2 linked regions of the Schizosaccharomyces pombe genome follow. The protein of the gene in region 2 interacts with the protein of the main gene of each other region in a pairwise test. Each region holds a gene or a part of one and is shown on either strand. Other genes may lie near its edges.

What was found.
Region 1: the proteins of erg11 (region 2) and ima1 interact in a protein complementation assay, tested with the Schizosaccharomyces pombe proteins (one large-scale study listed by BioGRID).

The regions. Positions count from the first base shown.
Region 1 is NC_003421.2:1,885,241-1,894,059, reverse strand, and holds ima1 (inner nuclear membrane protein Ima1), read left to right. Parts: upstream 1-3,195; 5' UTR 3,196-3,587; coding exon 3,588-5,435; 3' UTR 5,436-5,957; downstream 5,958-8,819. Other genes in the region: SPOM_SPCC737.04 (uncharacterized protein), read right to left, coding at 698-1,963; qcr7 (ubiquinol-cytochrome-c reductase complex subunit 6), read left to right, coding at 6,105-6,518; SPOM_SPCC297.06C (uncharacterized protein), read left to right, coding at 7,406-8,098; SPOM_SPCC297.05 (diacylglycerol-binding protein), read right to left, coding at 8,371-8,819. UniProt on the Schizosaccharomyces pombe protein: Inner nuclear membrane protein that specifically binds to heterochromatic regions and promotes the tethering of centromeric DNA to the SUN-KASH complex.
Region 2 is NC_003424.3:572,190-580,340, forward strand, and holds erg11 (sterol 14-demethylase), read right to left. Parts: upstream 4,965-8,151; 5' UTR 4,434-4,964; coding exon 2,946-4,433; 3' UTR 2,463-2,945; downstream 1-2,462. Other genes in the region: putatiRho-type GTPase-activating protein Rga8, read right to left, coding at 1-2,035, 2,080-2,182; protein Mcp7, read left to right, coding at 6,332-6,397, 6,492-7,058; SAGA complex ubiquitin Ubp8, read right to left, coding at 7,531-7,600, 7,646-7,710, 7,764-8,061, 8,107-8,151. UniProt on the Schizosaccharomyces pombe protein: Sterol 14alpha-demethylase that plays a critical role in the third module of ergosterol biosynthesis pathway, being ergosterol the major sterol component in fungal membranes that participates in a variety of functions.

The sequences.
Region 1 (8,819 bases), on a different chromosome or scaffold from region 2:
GAAAGTCATTGGTTTCATTAACTGAGCGTCTCATTTGCAGATATTTCGTTGAATGTCAAAAAGGAAAGAATTAAAGCGATAATTAGTATGCTTTAAAATCCCTCCAATATTTGCAATTAGGAAAATTTTGCCTTAAACTGAATTTCGTACTTTCTACTGCTGCTATAAATGATTATGATCTTTCTGTCTAAAACAACAGGTGCTTGTTTACTGACGCTATACATATCGAGCTTACTTATACATATATTAAGACTTAGGTAAACCGTTTATTTTCACAGCGTCTAAACTGTTTAACGAAATATAGATTTTTAAAGATAAAGCTAGCGAAAAAGGAAAACAGTATAATAATAATAATGAATTATAAGCGGCCATTATCCGAAATGAAATATGAAAATGCAACAAAATAACAGAAAAAAAGAGATGATGAATATAAATACAAAATCGTAAGAGAAGAAAACAGAAGTATGCAAAAATGAGAAATTTAAAGTTGTCGTAAGTAATGGAAAACAGAAAAACAAAAGAAACAAAAAAGCACAGTAACAAAATATTTTAAATTGCCTCGTGCATGACTTAATCTCATCATTTTCATTAATAAAAAGGAAATTCGTGTTAAGACTGCACTAATCTTTTAATTTTTAATTTTTTTTCAATAAACCGAATTTCTTAAGAGAATGCACTTGTGAATATGTAGTATGTATTAAATCCTCATGGGGTATGGGGTAAGATCTGCCTGGAATCCAGCAATGTTATGCCGTAAGTAAAACATTTCTTTTGTTTCCAAGCTATCGAAGCAACCTAGAGGCATGGTAAGATCAAAAAGAGGCTGCATATAACCACTCTTTTTAACATTTTTGAATTCCAATTCTTCGCACACATTAAGGTCCTTTTTGAATTCTTGACGCCATTTTTCCATTACTCGACGCTTGGTGTTCTTTTGAAAAATTTCACAGTCAACCGATCTAGAAAGGAAAGGGCATCTCAGTTCAACAGGCAATACTGTTTCCATCACAGTATTGGCTAGATAATTTTGAATGGGAAACGCACGTGCGTGATTACCTATAGAGAGCATAAACAACAACCATCCAACTTCTTCTTGACTTATCGTTTTGCTTTGGAAAATTGGTTCATTGCTATATTTTGGTAAAGAACTTTTAACACTAACTTCAGGACTCTGCTCCAACTGGATATTGCACATGTAACTTTTGTTGCAAATGGCGGCCCAACTAGTTTGTCCTTGGAATGAATAAACGTCTCCCGGTCGTACCAAGTACATTCTAATATTGCCAATCCGCTTTTGTACGCACCAAAGATGAAATTTCGTGTACTTATTGGAAGTGACCTGCCGGGACACGTAGATGATCATTGCTCTCCATAGGGAGTCCTTCATGTCGTCAGTGTAATAATCGTATAGTAAAACATGTCGAATTAATACTGGCAAGCTATAGTTGCCGGTAGAAAAATGCATCGAAAGGCTTAATCCATCTACTCGATTCTTCTTTAAAAAAGCCCCTAATCGTTTCTGCACCAAAGGCATATCTACTTTGAACTCGTACACCTGTTCCTGCATCGGTGAATATTCAGAAGACACTTGCTCAACACTTTTGAGATATAGTTTATCCTGTCGACGCATAACAATATCCACTAACCCCCCTAAAAACGGATTCTTTATGAGACCTTTATTTCTCCCAGACACTACTACGATACCCAAGCTTTTACCTGTTAAATTCTCGATGGATAGATTACGATCCAACTTGGATAACCAATCCTGACTCGTAACATTAATATTCACATCGCCCGTAGCCTTAGCAGGACTGTTGTACTCGGCTTTGCGAGATTGATAGCCCGGATCCGATTTAAAAAACTGCTGGATTTTCCTTGTAGTCTTTCTCAAGAAAGAGTTTTCCTGACCTTCATCATCAACTTCTCTCAAAATATCCAAACCCGATTGATTAGATATCGACATATTGTCGAATGTCGGTAAAATACTTTGAAACTTTTAAAACTTCGAGAATCGTAGAAAAGAAGAAAAAGGATACCAATATCCAGAATCTCAAAACCACAGTGCGTCCAACTTAAAAATAAAAGGTAATGAAATGAAGTAAAAAAAAAAAATTATTAAAATTTGGTTCTTTCCAAAGGGCTTTGTTTCCTGTTAAATACTAAATATGAAATCGTTTATCTTAGCTTAGCCATTTTGCCATCTTCATCATGCTTTTCCTAACAACGCTCCCCAAGCCACGTAAAACATCAACTTTCGCAACTCGTCCTATTTCAAGTTTACGAAGACATCCAATTTCCTAATCGTCTCTACCCTATAATATTTTGTATAATCATGGTCTAAGCCATTTCATCGTAGCGATGAGCCTCTCGTAAGTTAATTAATGGCGCAGCATATCAATTTTAATCAACTTGTAATAGAATAGAGATGATCATGCTGTCTATTGCTTATAGTTACAAGACTAGATTTCCTTTCTCAACATGCAATAAGGATTGAAAAGTAAAAATGAACTACTTGTATGAAATTTTCGTTTTCGTGCTTAATTCATGATTATGACCTTTTGGAGTCAGTGACATACACCGTTTCCATTGACAGACATTATTGAATTTTTTTTTTACAATGGGGCAACAGTCAATGTTGGCGCAAGCTTAAGATGCAAATGCAATCTTTCATTTAAAAGCGGCTTGTTTCATCAATACATTTGACATTTAACGATGGCTTGTAGGCATTGTTGTAGACATCCACTCAGCCTACATTTTGTCAATACTTTTCTACACAACTTCTCAAACTCGTTCCTTTGTAGCTTAAAAATTAAGCGAACTTAAAAACTATTAAACTTTTTGTTAAACGAATTATTTGCATAAAATACCAAAAAGATTTTTTGTTGACTTTCACCTAACAAATTAAGAGCGGTTGGTTTTATTAAAAAGAAAATTTATTAAGATATTTCTCATTGCATTCCACTTCAATGCGTCGTAGAGCATATCATAAGTAAGGCTCTAAAAATAAGCCACAAACACTGATCGTTCTTCTGGTACAATGGTTCAAATTTTTTTTTTCTAGGAAGCTCGAAAAAGAAAATACAAACAAAAAAAAATTAAACAGCTCATTTCTTCAAAAACTCCTTTTATCCTCAATTTGTTTGAACTTTGTTCTGACAACCCGCTACGAATTGGCTTGGGACCCTGCTGACGGTCGGCCTTTTCCCTATTCTCACCACGAGCACCGTGGGGAAACTGTATAGTCGAAATCTTCGAGTTTTCTTGCTCAACATTTCAAGAAAACTTTTATACTATTCAAGTGTATCTAATTGTTACTTCACTCGTTATTTAGTACTTCTCTTTTACTTTGTCAAGCAGCACAAGTGTTTGATAAAGGTCATTCTGTATAAGGGGTCCTCTGTACCATTACACCTTGTACCTTGATATAAAAGATATTTACATGCATTTTATTTCCGTTAACTCACAGAATATCAGTTGTTTGGTTTTCTTCTTACGTGTGCTGGTTTGACTTGTTGTTTCCCTTTTTTTTTTTAAATTTGCACACACAGGATTCTATGAGAACTTTGCATTAAATGGTATAATGGGAAATGGAATCTAGCCGATTGTTTACACTTGGATTGGGAAATTCCGATGATGGATTGAAATCCACTTTTGGTGATAAAACAGTAACTTGTTTTTATTGCAACAAGAAGAAGGAAAAAATTAGAGACGGAACGTCTACTTGGACTTGCTCAATTTGTGAAGCCACCAACCATATTGATGAGAAAGGTGATATCCTGGATTATCGACCTCCAACCCCAACTCAAGACAAGGGTGTTGGTCCTTTTTACGCGATACGGGATTTCCCAAGCAGTTCTTCCTTTCAGAGCCCCTTTTGTGAAAAATGTCAAATGAACCAACTGATTGTGAATCGGATGCTTGCTGATTATCTGCCAGACTCATCACATCCAGATTATCAGGCTTATGAGAAGGCATTACCAGAGTATAAAAAATCTATAGAAGAGAAATTTCCCATTGTTTGCTCTGAATGCTATGACTCCGTTCAAGACCAACTTGATGCCAATGATTATGAAGCCAAAAATCAGGTTTTAGGATATTGGCTGCAAAAGTCAAAGGAACAGCTAAACGCAAAAGTCCCCCATCACTATCCAAAAGCTTCTTTTGTTCTTTGGTTACTTCGTGGATTTGGTTTTTCGTTTTTCTATTTGCAATCGATTGTGTGGCATTTGTATCATTCTATGATAATAAGCTTATTACCAGATGGTATTCGTAATTTATTTCTAAAAGCAATCTCTTACTTCCTATTAGATGGATCCTCTAGCAAAATTTTTTACTTTAATTGGCTTGGTTTTTTCGTTGTCTTTTGGAACCCGTATTGGTACAAAATGATGGACAATCCATCTTGGGAGCTTTTTGGGCGGGATCAGTATATCCAATGTCAGGCACTTTATCTTATTATCCGTTTAACTTGCTTGTATCTCCTTTCATGTTATGAGTCGGAAATTTTGAACTTAAGCTCGGATACCAATCTTGAAAGTGATTTTTTACTCCGTCAAATACATGCAGCCTTTTTCTTTGTTACCATTTGTTTTACATGGATTAGCATCTCATGTTTAAAGCCAAGTCCTCCTCCAGAAGTTCATTTGACTGGCGAAATTTTGAAACCACGCAAGAAGCGTCAGGAAAGTACATCTTCTGTGCATCGGATAGGAAAGGAATCGAGTGACAGAAAAGATGGAATTAGTGGGCAGAATAAATTGCAGCAATTTGCGACAATTTCAATTCTGAATAATACCAACGCAACGTCTCATTTGGGAAATCAGTCTGTTCGTGAGAGAGCTCCGGAGGAATCCCCTATGACTTTTCTTCAAAAAAAAATGGCCGCCCTTCCAACATCTAGTCCTGTTCGACCGATGCTTAAACCTACTCTTCAGCTTCAAAATTCTCCTTTATCGAAACTGGTTCCTCAAGAAGTGGGCAACAAAGTAAACGATTCTATTCATACGACGTCTAATCAGCCAAGTAAATTTTCCCTGAACCCTTCCATATCTCTAAAAGGTGATAACGTGATAGAGAAGAATTTACCTTTTTCCGTGTCTACTTTAAAGTCCACTGCAAAGAAAGATACTGGTAAAGCAGGGGATGGTCAAAATCGCGAAATTCAAAATGAGCCAGTGAGCCTTGAAAGTCATTTTAGTAAGTCTTTAGCCCTTCAGAACGATCCAACAGAAGTTATTCAGGTGAAAAACGTTCTTCACCGGAATCGTCGAAATGCAAAGCTTCTCATTGCTTTCACAATTTTGTTCCTCGTTGGGTTAATTTGCGGATGGCGTTTGAATCGTTTTACTATGTTCATTTACTATTTATGCATATTGGTGTTAGCCACATATTATGTTATGAAACACAACTTTTATCCTTTAAGAAAGGTGGCTTGATCTGGTTACTATTTAAAGAAGTGGATGCAAAGTAATATGGAATATATTCTTTTGCAAACCAATCATTCATTAATTTATCCAATTTTGGAATAAATTTCGTTACTAATATTGCCAGAGGCGGTTATGTCGCTATCATTTGTTTAAAGTTTTTCAGCTCCTTTCTGGCAACTCGACATATTCGAGCTAGCGCATTCGCACAAATGGGATCCAATATAAATTTACTTTTTTTTTCCTATTAAAGCTATATAATTAAGTATTTTTCATACTAACGAGTTTTATTTGATAAATTTCATTCGTTTCAATAGGTTAGTACTGAAAGAGAACATGTAACCTGAGCAAACTTCTGGTTCATACGAATACTAGCAATGGTGCATTCCCGAATATATGTTAGACACGTCGTTAAATTAGTTTAGGTTATAAAATCGTTAGAGTTAAACAATAACTTAAGAGAAATGAGCCGAGAATACTAGGATATTCAGATTTTCATTACTTTCTAATTCCGCTCAGGATTCTATGTGCAGGTAACATCAGGTGACCGAAGGATTCATTGGCATACTATAGGGCCATGAGATCTTACCTTCTTCCAATATTCAAAACTAAGAGTTTTATTGATTTCAGTGCAAATTTTGTAGTGACGAAATTTTTTTTTGCTGAAGTGATTGTTTAAGTATGAAACCTGTGTCTCTTGCCAAGTATATTCAAAAATCACCATTTTTGACGAAATTGCTTTTACCCATCTCCAATGCCTATGTGCATTTGTCAGGATACCGTAAATATGGTCTTCGATACGACGATTTGATGTTGGAGGAGAATGACGATACTCAAAAGGCGTTATCTCGTTTGCCTAAGATGGAATCCTACGATCGAGTCTATCGTATTCGCCGTGCCATGCAACTTAGCATTGAGAATAAAATTTTGCCAAAATCTGAATGGACAAAGCCTGAGGAGGATTACCATTACCTCAGACCTGTTTTAGCTGAGGTTATCGCGGAGAGGAAAGAGCGTGAGGCCTTCGACGCTCTCATTGTTAAGAAACCCGAGACTCAAGCCCATGCAACATCTTCTCCTGCTCATGCTCATTAAAAGTTTGCATGTCCTCCTTTAATCCACTTATTCCTCTCATGAAAACCGACAAGAAAATTAAAAGAGTAGTAAACGGATGTGAGAATTTTATTTTCTAAGTAACCCCCAACTCCAATTTCTAAAAAGGAAGACAATTTATGCACGTATCTTATTTCATCGGTTATATCAGTCGACAAAGTACGTGGAAACGAAAGTTTTTATATTGCTGTTTATCTGTACTTTGACTTTACTATGTGTGCGATTAATTTTCTACGCCGCTCTGTTTTTGCTTTGCTCTATTTTAACTACTGGTATATCTCCCATCTCTTTGACCTCTCCTCTCTATGCTTTCAGTTTTCATATTTTAATTGAACAACGATTTTTTCTTATTTTTTATTTTTTGTAGCTGCTTTTTCCTTGACTGTTATCTTTGAAAGAGAAACAATTTTTTTGTTTCTTAGTTTCGCTTTCTGAAGATGATTTTGCAATTATTCTCTCGCTGAATCAATTATAGCTAATGGTTGGTATAACATAAGTTAGTGAACAAAACATTGTAAGGCAAACCAACTAATGTAGTATTTTTTTTAAATCGTGATATCAAATTTTAAACTTGTTAAACAGACAAACTTATTTTGAGAAATTTTATGACAGTTTGGCATTGTATTTATTGATTTAATTAAGCTTACTCCTATTTGACTTTAGGCATACTCTTCCTTGTACGACTTCAAGCTCATGAGCTTTTCACTATCTGAAATGTTGTACCCAGAGTCATAATATATGAACCTCCGATCGACGTAAAGTATTATTGAATTTAATTTTATTTATTTCCGCGTTTGTTTAACTTGTTTGAGGAACTTGAAAAATTACAAGAAAATCATGTACAATTTTGTTCGAAATATTTATTGAATATGCAGGGGAAAATCAATTATAAAGACATTACTCAGAAAGAAATGTTCAATGAAATATTTAAAGAATATGTTAAGGAAGAGAAGCAGATCGATTTGGGTACTTGTGATCAAGATTCTGTACACGACCTCTGGCGACGCTTTGTAAAAAGATGGAATGATGGAAAAATGAAAAGTAAATGGTATTCGTTGGGAAAGAGAATATCTCAACCCTCTTATGCTCGTCTTGTAGGTCCAAGTCGACCAACTTTGGAAAATTTACAAGATCGACGAGAATTGCAGGAGCAATTAAACGAGTTGAGAAAGCTATCCCGAAAATCAGCTTTTAAATCGCAAGCTAAAAGGGAGACAGAATTGTTGGATGAAATTCTTCCAAAAGAACCAGCAGGAAGCAAAGAAGCTATGCAACAGAAAAAGAAGGAAAAACGAGCTGCTTTGAAGCATTATCGCGAAGCATCTGACAATGAAGAAGACTTGAAAGAAACCGACTTATACGGAGACCGGGACTCATTTCAGTCCCGATTGAAGCAAAAAAAACAACGGTCAGAATTCAGGGCTTCAAAACGAGAAATGGAAAGACTTGAGCGCGACCAAGAGCTTCGAAATAAAATTGAGGAAAGAAATAAAAAAGAGTTAGAAACAATTGAAAAGCTACGAGAGTTAGCCAAGGCTAGGTTGCAAGGTTTTTCTAGTTGATCATTTTAGCAATTACGCCGACATTTATAAAACCAAAGAAGTGTGCAACTATTCATTATGATTAGAGCTTTTTAACTATGAGTCAAACATAATGAGTATTTAATTTCTCTCAACTTAAGATGTATATGACTTTATATTAAAAATTCACAAATTTAATCAAAGTATAAAAAATGAAAAGCGTTTTAGAGTTGTTCGATTAAATATTTTAACTATAACCAAAAAGAAGTCTATTGAGCATTAATAATTCGTAAATAGTGCGTCTATAACCTAACCTAGTGTAAAGCATTGTCATTCTTCAACGAAGCTGGTATAGGTGCAACCTCAATTCTTTGGATTTCCAATGACTTGTCTCGTAGAAAAGGGGTGGCCTTTCCAAAAAGCCTTGGTTTACCATGATTGCGTTCACAAAGAAGTAACTGATCAAACAGTGCCACTCGGGGATCATTTAGATCAAGCTCGCATCGATCGCCAATGAATTCTGCAAATGCCTGTGAGCTACAAAGTGATGAAATCCAACTCCCGTGAACTTTGGAAGCTTGCCGAGTAAATTTATTGAAGTCGAATGATCCTATAAGACCACCACTTCCTTTAGAAATACCAAAATTTTCACGAGACATATGAGGTTTGCGTAAATAATTCCGATATGACCCTAAGATTTTTATAAAGAATTTTAAAAATGTCACTAATATCTGCTGACTATTAAAACATGCTGGAACACATG
Region 2 (8,151 bases):
GCGGGAATTTCTGAAGGTTGCAGCTCCTCAAACGAAGATCTTGGAGATTCGACAGCAGTATGAGATCGGACAGAAGAAATGGAGTCTGGTCTAGTTGGTGATACATCTGTACTCCGAGGAGTAGCAGAAGATTGATATAATACACGGTCAGAAACACGTTTGGATGAATTCAATTTTCTGAGTTCTTCAAAAATACTTGGTCCGTAAGTTAAAAGATCCTCCATGAACTTCGTTGGGTGCTTATCATGTTGAATACCCAAATTCCATGTTGCTGGACGGGAAATGCATAAAGATAAGGAGTTAGCTAAATTTATAGTAAAAGTTTCTTTATTTGGAGTAAGCGTAATCAAGCGATTTAGATGAGTAATGATGGCACTCAAAGTAGCAAGATTAACACGTCGAAGTTGGGATAAAAGATTTTGTAAAAGTCTCAACCTGTACGGCGTATCATTACTATGATTCATGTAAATTGAACGAATAAGCTCAAAAGCAGAAGAAGGAACGATGGAATCAGGGAGTTCAAGAAAGTATAGCTTCAAAACTCCTATCACAACGGAGGGAGTATACTGTGATAAAACCTCCTTTGTCACGGATGAAGAATGATTCAACGCTTCTCGAAGTTGATGTACAGAAGACAAGGGAGAATTAACAAGCCATATATTTTGACGAACTTCATCAGAGGCAAGCGTAGGATATAACAGATCTAAATAAGAAAGGATCGTACTAACGATTATGGGAACACGTTTCTTATCTCTATGAGACAAAAACTCAACGTCCACTCCAAAAATCTGATCTTTAATATCATTATAATAATCCTCATATATTTCGACACGAGGTAAAAATGGACCAGTAGCTGCAGACTCTAAAATATACCTAATGTCACTCTCAGGTTGAATTATTTCCTGATAAACAACAATCTGATCAGCCAGCAATTTCATGGAAGGCAAAAAGTTCGAAATAATTGTTGATAAATCCATAAAAAAATCTTTATAATAAAGAACGCGATCGGTTTCACATTTTTGAAGAAATTGCAAATGATCAGCAATAGTTTCTTCCACAAGTGTGCGGCATTTATCAAGATCAACGACTGATTCGCTGTAAATTTTATTTGCATCCAGAACTTCTCTTTTAAGACGTTGAGATTGAGTTTCTGAAGAGTAAAGCTTTCGATGACTTATATAATCAGAAAGATATTCACCAACTAATGGTAAAGCCTTGGCGTTTTCGACAAGACTATCTACACTATTCAGTCCTGCAAACTGGAAAGCCTTGTCTTTCCACTGATAATGGAAGTTGGTACTATTCACAAAACTACCTCCAACGCCCATATGACGCAAAAATCCTTGAGCTATCAAATCTTGTCCAAATGCCTCGGCTGCAACTAAAGTTGGAACAGGAAGATTTTCCTGAAGCCAAGAAACAATAATATTTCCTGAACATGTATTAGGGTAAGTACCTAAGATAGGGACGCGATAATCCTGTAAGGGTATTTCTTGTAATACTTGAGCCAAAACCTCTTTTAACTCCTCAGGCCTAAACTCCATAAAACCAAGTTGAATCAGATCATCATCATTTTCCAACAATGATTGCTGCTGTGGACTAGAAACTGTTGTTAAGTCAGTAATAGCCTCACTAGTAGTTTCATTGGACTCCTTTGATTCTTCTTCATAATCTTCAAGGTTTCTACATTTGTTGTAGTAAGCGCTTTTTGTTTTTTTAAGTGTATAGTATTTCTTTTCATAACTCTTTATTTGATTGGTAAGAACTTGTTGGCTGGTTTGTAACTTCTGAGAATGATCAATAGACATTTTAGAGAAAGGAGCAATAATTAGCGTTTCTAAGTCCTTGGCAATACGAATATGTTGCTTTCCTTGATTAGCAATCTCGGAGCGCAACCCTTCAAAAGCCTTGTTAGAAGTAGCACCGTCTTCTGTATTCTCTGGCTTTTTCCCTTTTAGACATTCTTTCGTTATTTCTTGAAGCTTTTCACCAAATTCCTCATTCGCTTCTTTATATAACTTCAACAAGTTTTTTACTATTCGTTGTTAGAGGAAGTCCTATATTAATTTATTTAAATACCTTGCTCATTCTCTTCAACTCCATTATCCAGGCAATCGAAAAGTTTTTTCACACCAGTCGCGTAGTCTTTACTCCAAAAACCATTTGAAAAGCTCGATATCATTTCAATTCGAGACTGAAACTGTCACAACCTGTCAAGAAATATAGAGGTGGTTGACATGTCTACGCCCTTTATTACTCAACTTAAGTAAATAGCGAATTGCTACGCAGAAAAGTTTTACCCATCAAGGATGCCAAAAGTATCCAGTAAATAAGACAACAGATACGTTACTTGACACACATAAGATAGCATACCACTAATCCTTTATAAAATGTAAACTTCATTCAGTTGAATAGCAGCCTACGCTTTTACCCACTTTGTATTATTAATGCTATGGTTGGATCGATGGTACAATTAAAAACTACAAAATTTTAATTAATAGCTTACTGAGAAACCTTGCGTTTGCACGATGAGGTTTTGAAAAGAGAGAGTAGCGTACTTTATTGTTATAATGCCTACATGAAAACGAAAGAGAGCGTCCCGACGTTATTAAAACTATAATATCGTAAAAATGTATCACTAATGATGACAGGGTAGTTTTCATATCGATTTAGTGCGAGGATAAGGAAGTTTGAAATTGCATAATACATTCTTTTGACATTTGAAATGCTACCAAATAGTCATTTAAAACGCTAAAATATTTACAATTTCATAAAACAATAAAGCACTTAAAATTTAAAATGTCTAGCAAATTTCATGGTTATTCGTTACTCGTCAGATAAAACAAAAACGTTTAACACGGGCATGAAAAGAGAAAGGCGGAACCAAAGTTAGAAACCAATACCATAAGCGTATTGCAAATGCATTCAAATTAGGGGAAATTCCCTTAATTACGACGCTTCCAAGCAATTTTAACAGGACCCAAGGGAAGAGCAACCATACTGGAATAGTCAACGTTGGGAACTTTTCCAATAAGAGTCCAGGTGTAATCGTGTACAAACTTGCTAATAATAGTGCTCAAATGCATGTAGGCAAATTGCTCACCAATGCAACGATGACGACCAGCTCCAAAGGGTAGGTATGGAGAAGCAGCACCCTTTGTAACGAGACCATAACCATAATCAATTTGCTCAGCATTTTCGTCTTCATTGACGCGGTCATTCCAGCGCTTGGGGTCAAAGTCAGTAGCATGAGTGAAGTATTCCTCTTCAGTAGCAGTTAAACCGGGAGCAGCAAGAAGATAGTTGTTGGCAGGGATAACAATCTTTGAACCAGGGACGGGTAAGTCACGTTTGACTTTACGCATATGACTGTGGATAGGGGGATGGAGTCTAAGAGTTTCTTGAATAACATAGTTGAGAAGAGGCATGTCCTTATATTGGTCAAACTTCAATTCCAAGTTTTCACCTACAACACGCTTCTGCTCTTCCCACAACATTTCAATGATTTCAGGTTTGCTACCCAAAAGAGCAAGAACCCAAACGATAGTGGCAGCAGAGGTGTGTTGACCAGCCATCAAAAGTGCAATCATCATACCAGCAATTTCATGTTCCTTCAAAGGACGGCCATCTCTATACTTGCAGCTCATCAAAGTCCAAATCATATCAGTACCAGGATTTTCAGTGCTAGAGCGACGATCTTTAATAATTTTAAGATAAGTTTTTTGCATAATTTTGTGGGCTCTATCACGGCGTCTGTTTCTAGGGAGAGGTAACCAAGGGAAAACAAAGTTAACAGGGCTAAATCCTTGATCAAGGTCATGGTACAAGTCAGCGAAACCAGCGTCAAAGCCCTTGCGAACCTCAGCACCTTGTAAAGTACGAGAAGCAGTGTAAATAGTCATGACAGGCATGGTCTTCAGCAAATCAGCAACGCCTTCCTTACCAGGTCCGAAGTCAGGAGAAGTGCTGAGAAAAGCATCCATTTCGTTAAGAATGAGGGGGACATAAGAGCGGAATTGAGAGAAGCCAAGACCAGATTTGATAAACTTCTTGTGCTCCATAAAAACATGGTTGGGAATATCGTAAACGACATCTTTACCGAATACAGGGGTAGTTAAATGAGAGTAAGCTTCTTCAGCATTCAAATCAGCTAATTTACCGTTAAAGAGGAAATCATTACCTTGGACACCAAGGAAAGCGGTCATTTTACGACCCATGCAAACAAAGGTGAAAACATCACCATATTTGGCACGACACTCGCGAAAAAATACATAAGGGTCCATACCGTATGCGACAGCAGAACCTACAAAGGGTATCCAATGGAAGACAATTGGGGGGCGTTTGCTATTGCGAGAGGTAAGTTGGTTAATAATATAACCAACATACCAAGCCAATGCAATCGATAATAAAATCGAAACTAAAGAGAATGCCATCCTGACTTATGAAAAAAAAAGTAATGCTCAAGTGGGTAAAGCAGGTAAAAAATAATCAGACGAAAAAAATAAAATCAGTCAGTAAAGTAGTAAGGGGTAAGCAGATAGCAACCAAAAACGAATAAGACCAACCAAAAAACAACGACAACAACAACAAATGTGTAACAGATAAAAATAGTTCAACCCTTTGAGCTAATGCAAATAAACTTGAAAAAGAAAAGGAGAAAGAAAAAATGAATTGATTAACACGCAGCTACGAGAACAACGAATGAAACAAATAGAAAAAAGCGTTAAAAACGAAATCGAAAACAGACAATAATATGAAAGAAAAACAAAAAAAAATTACGTTTCCTTTCACTTAACGAATGAGATTGGGATTTTGAAAAGACAATTTTCAAAAACAACGATCGATACAGAAATTTTAGATCTTGTCTTTTTTAAGGTACTTCTACAAGTGAAGAATCGATTTATCTTCTCTTTGACACCAAATACGCTGGTTTCGACGACGATTCAAGCTAACTTGGGTCTCGCGCTGACTGATGGGAGTTGGTAGAATTATATATGCAACATAATGGCCGTGTAACCGTTTGTTTATGCTGAAAATCCGTAAAAAAACATGCTACTTGATCACTTCAAAATTACACTTTTTTATCCAATCATATTTTTCAGATACTACCTTATTGTTCTTTCTGGTCAAGGTGAATTAGCCACTAAGCCAATGAGAAATCCAATTTTGTTACCTGAGAATAGGGCGACATCGTACGATTCGAGGGTTTGTGAGGTGAATGACTGCGGGGCTTATGTTGCGATCGAACGATGGCACGTCCATTGGACCGAGATAATACACATGTTTACCGTAGCTCGTAACGCACATTTAACAAACTACTTGCTTCTACCCTACTTTATCACCTAAAAATAAAAATGTGTCAACATGTGCACGTCTACTATACCTTCTACTATTTGTTCGGTAAACCACCAACCGTGCCTCCTTATACGTCTTCTCCAAACATGTAATTGGATTCGAACAACTTTAGCTCGACAAGTCGTTTAGCTTACGAACATCCAAAAGCTTATCTAATGACCTAACTAACTCGCTCTTTTTGGTCGCATGACTTTGCATACGATTGTTTAGTAATAAAAACAATAATCCTTTTCACACCTGTTTTTACCCATGGGAAAGCGGTTCCCAAAGTTTGTCACTTACTCCCATATTCTAATCTAGATTAAAACACATTTAGCTGCGAACATGGCACACCGGTTAATACCCAGCCATAGTTGAAATTAGTAGACAAATTGACTGAGTATCTCTTATCAAAAGTCAATACACATTTTGTTTGCGCTGACATTAAACATCGTTGCTCTTATGAATGCTATGTGTGTGTGTGTGTGTATGTGGAAATGTGTTAGTCAGTCAGTGTTTGCTTGAAATTCGCTGTGTGAAAATAATAAAGTGAAAAATAAATAAAAGGTTGTAAAACCGAATTCGTACAGTAAGGTGAGCGCCGACAAAAGCTCTTGAGAAAAAAAAAATCATGCTGCTATCAGTATTCGAGTCTTTTCGATTTCGTGGCAAAAGGAAGTTTTCCTCACATGTTTTTGTGCGACAATAGCCAACCCCATTCACTTAATTCCTTAATTTCCTCAAGGGTCAAAAAGATTAGGATAGCTGAATAACGTTTTGCATTGCATTATGTTGCAATACGATAGTAAGACATTATAGGGTATATATCATAGTTGGAAAGTGCGGATGTGCATTTTAGCAGACTACGTTATCATTCAGTAAATGTTTGGGATCTAAACTCTCATTTCTCCAAAAGATTAGAAAGCATCTACTTCTTGCATCACAACAAACTTTTAAACTCCATATTTGTTCAAACTAATTAATAAATTTTTAAACAATGCCTCCCAAGGGACTATCGCTTGCAGAGAAAAGAAGAAGATTAGAGGCCATTTTCCATGACTCTGTAAGTTCGTGATATGATTGTTCAAGTGCCAAAACATGATTTTTGCCCATTCGTGTCTCACTTTCCACATTGCTAATCTATGTTTTTTTTATAGAAAGATTTTTTTCAACTAAAGGAGGTGGAAAAGCTGGGCTCTAAAAAGCAAATCGTTTTGCAAACTGTAAAGGACGTTTTACAGTCTCTCGTTGACGACAATATCGTCAAAACGGAAAAGATTGGCACTAGCAATTACTACTGGTCTTTTCCCTCCGATGCTAAACGTTCAAGAGAGTCAGTTCTCGGATCTCTTCAAGCTCAACTTGATGATTTGAAACAAAAATCTAAAACTTTAGATGAAAACATTAGTTTCGAGAAATCCAAAAGGGATAACGAAGGAACCGAAAATGATGCCAATCAATACACTTTGGAACTGCTACATGCAAAAGAATCAGAACTAAAACTTCTTAAAACACAACTTTCAAATTTAAATCACTGTAATCCTGAAACCTTTGAATTAAAAAATGAGAATACTAAAAAGTACATGGAAGCTGCCAATTTGTGGACCGATCAAATCCATACTTTGATAGCTTTTTGTCGAGACATGGGTGCCGATACCAATCAAATTCGTGAGTATTGCAGCATTCCAGAGGATTTGGACGATCTGCAACTACCGATTTTGTGAACTTGACATGCTTCCTTAATTCAAAGAGTTGTTTTCCTTATTAATATTTTAAAATTTTATACATTTTAACAGTTACATATAAAATAGCTTACTCGACGACAAGACTTAGCTTTTAAAAGATAAAATTATAATTAGTTGGAATAATATTAAACGAAACAAAACAAAAGTCCAAATTCCTCAAACTTATAGTATTTGTTAACTTTGAAAGAAAAAAAGCATGTTTCTTTTTTTATAGTTTTAACTTTTTTTATAAATTTACGTAAGGTCATTAATTAAAATGCGACTGTTGTAACGGTTCCAAATCCAATGCCATTTCTGGCCTCAACAATATGAAATCTAAAAGCTTCTTCATGAGTTAGATTATCGAAGTGATGATGTTTCATAACCACATAAATAAGGAACCTTTGAGTCAATTACTTTACATGGTTCATAATGATTGTTCATGAACGGATATCTGATCGCATAATCTAACTCAATTTTCCGTTTTAACAGTCATTTCATCACTGTATAGGATTTGACGCTCATGGTAAAATAATAGGTAACTATAATCTGGTTAGTATGTAAAAAAATAACAGCAAAGAGCCTACGCTTGAGAATTTAAGACCTCCGATTCCTTTACTTCCACAATTGTGGTGTCATCCAGCAAAAACCACTACAAAAATTAGTAAAAATTTCCATAAAAAATTCAAAAAAAATTTAATATACTTGATTTTGGTAGTATGTATAGGCAATATAGTGCCCTGTGTCGAGAGTTCCTTTATGACACACAACTGAGTATAATTGATAATCCACATCATCTTGATTAAAGTTGTAGCGCATTCTTAAAAATGCTGGATAAGATACTTGCTTATCTATTTTAGTTGACATGGCAAAGTTATTTTGTTCAAATCGTTTCAATTGCATGCAAATAGTTGGAGGTAGTTTGTCAAAGACCAATTGTTTAATAGCATTTTTTGACCCGCAACTATGACAGCTATATTGAACTTTCTCTTTGGAAACAAACCTAAAATAATATTTGTTAAAAAATCTAAAAACGAGCAAATTTTACCTTTCCAAACATCCTTGAAGTGTTGGCTCATTGATGTCTAAACTA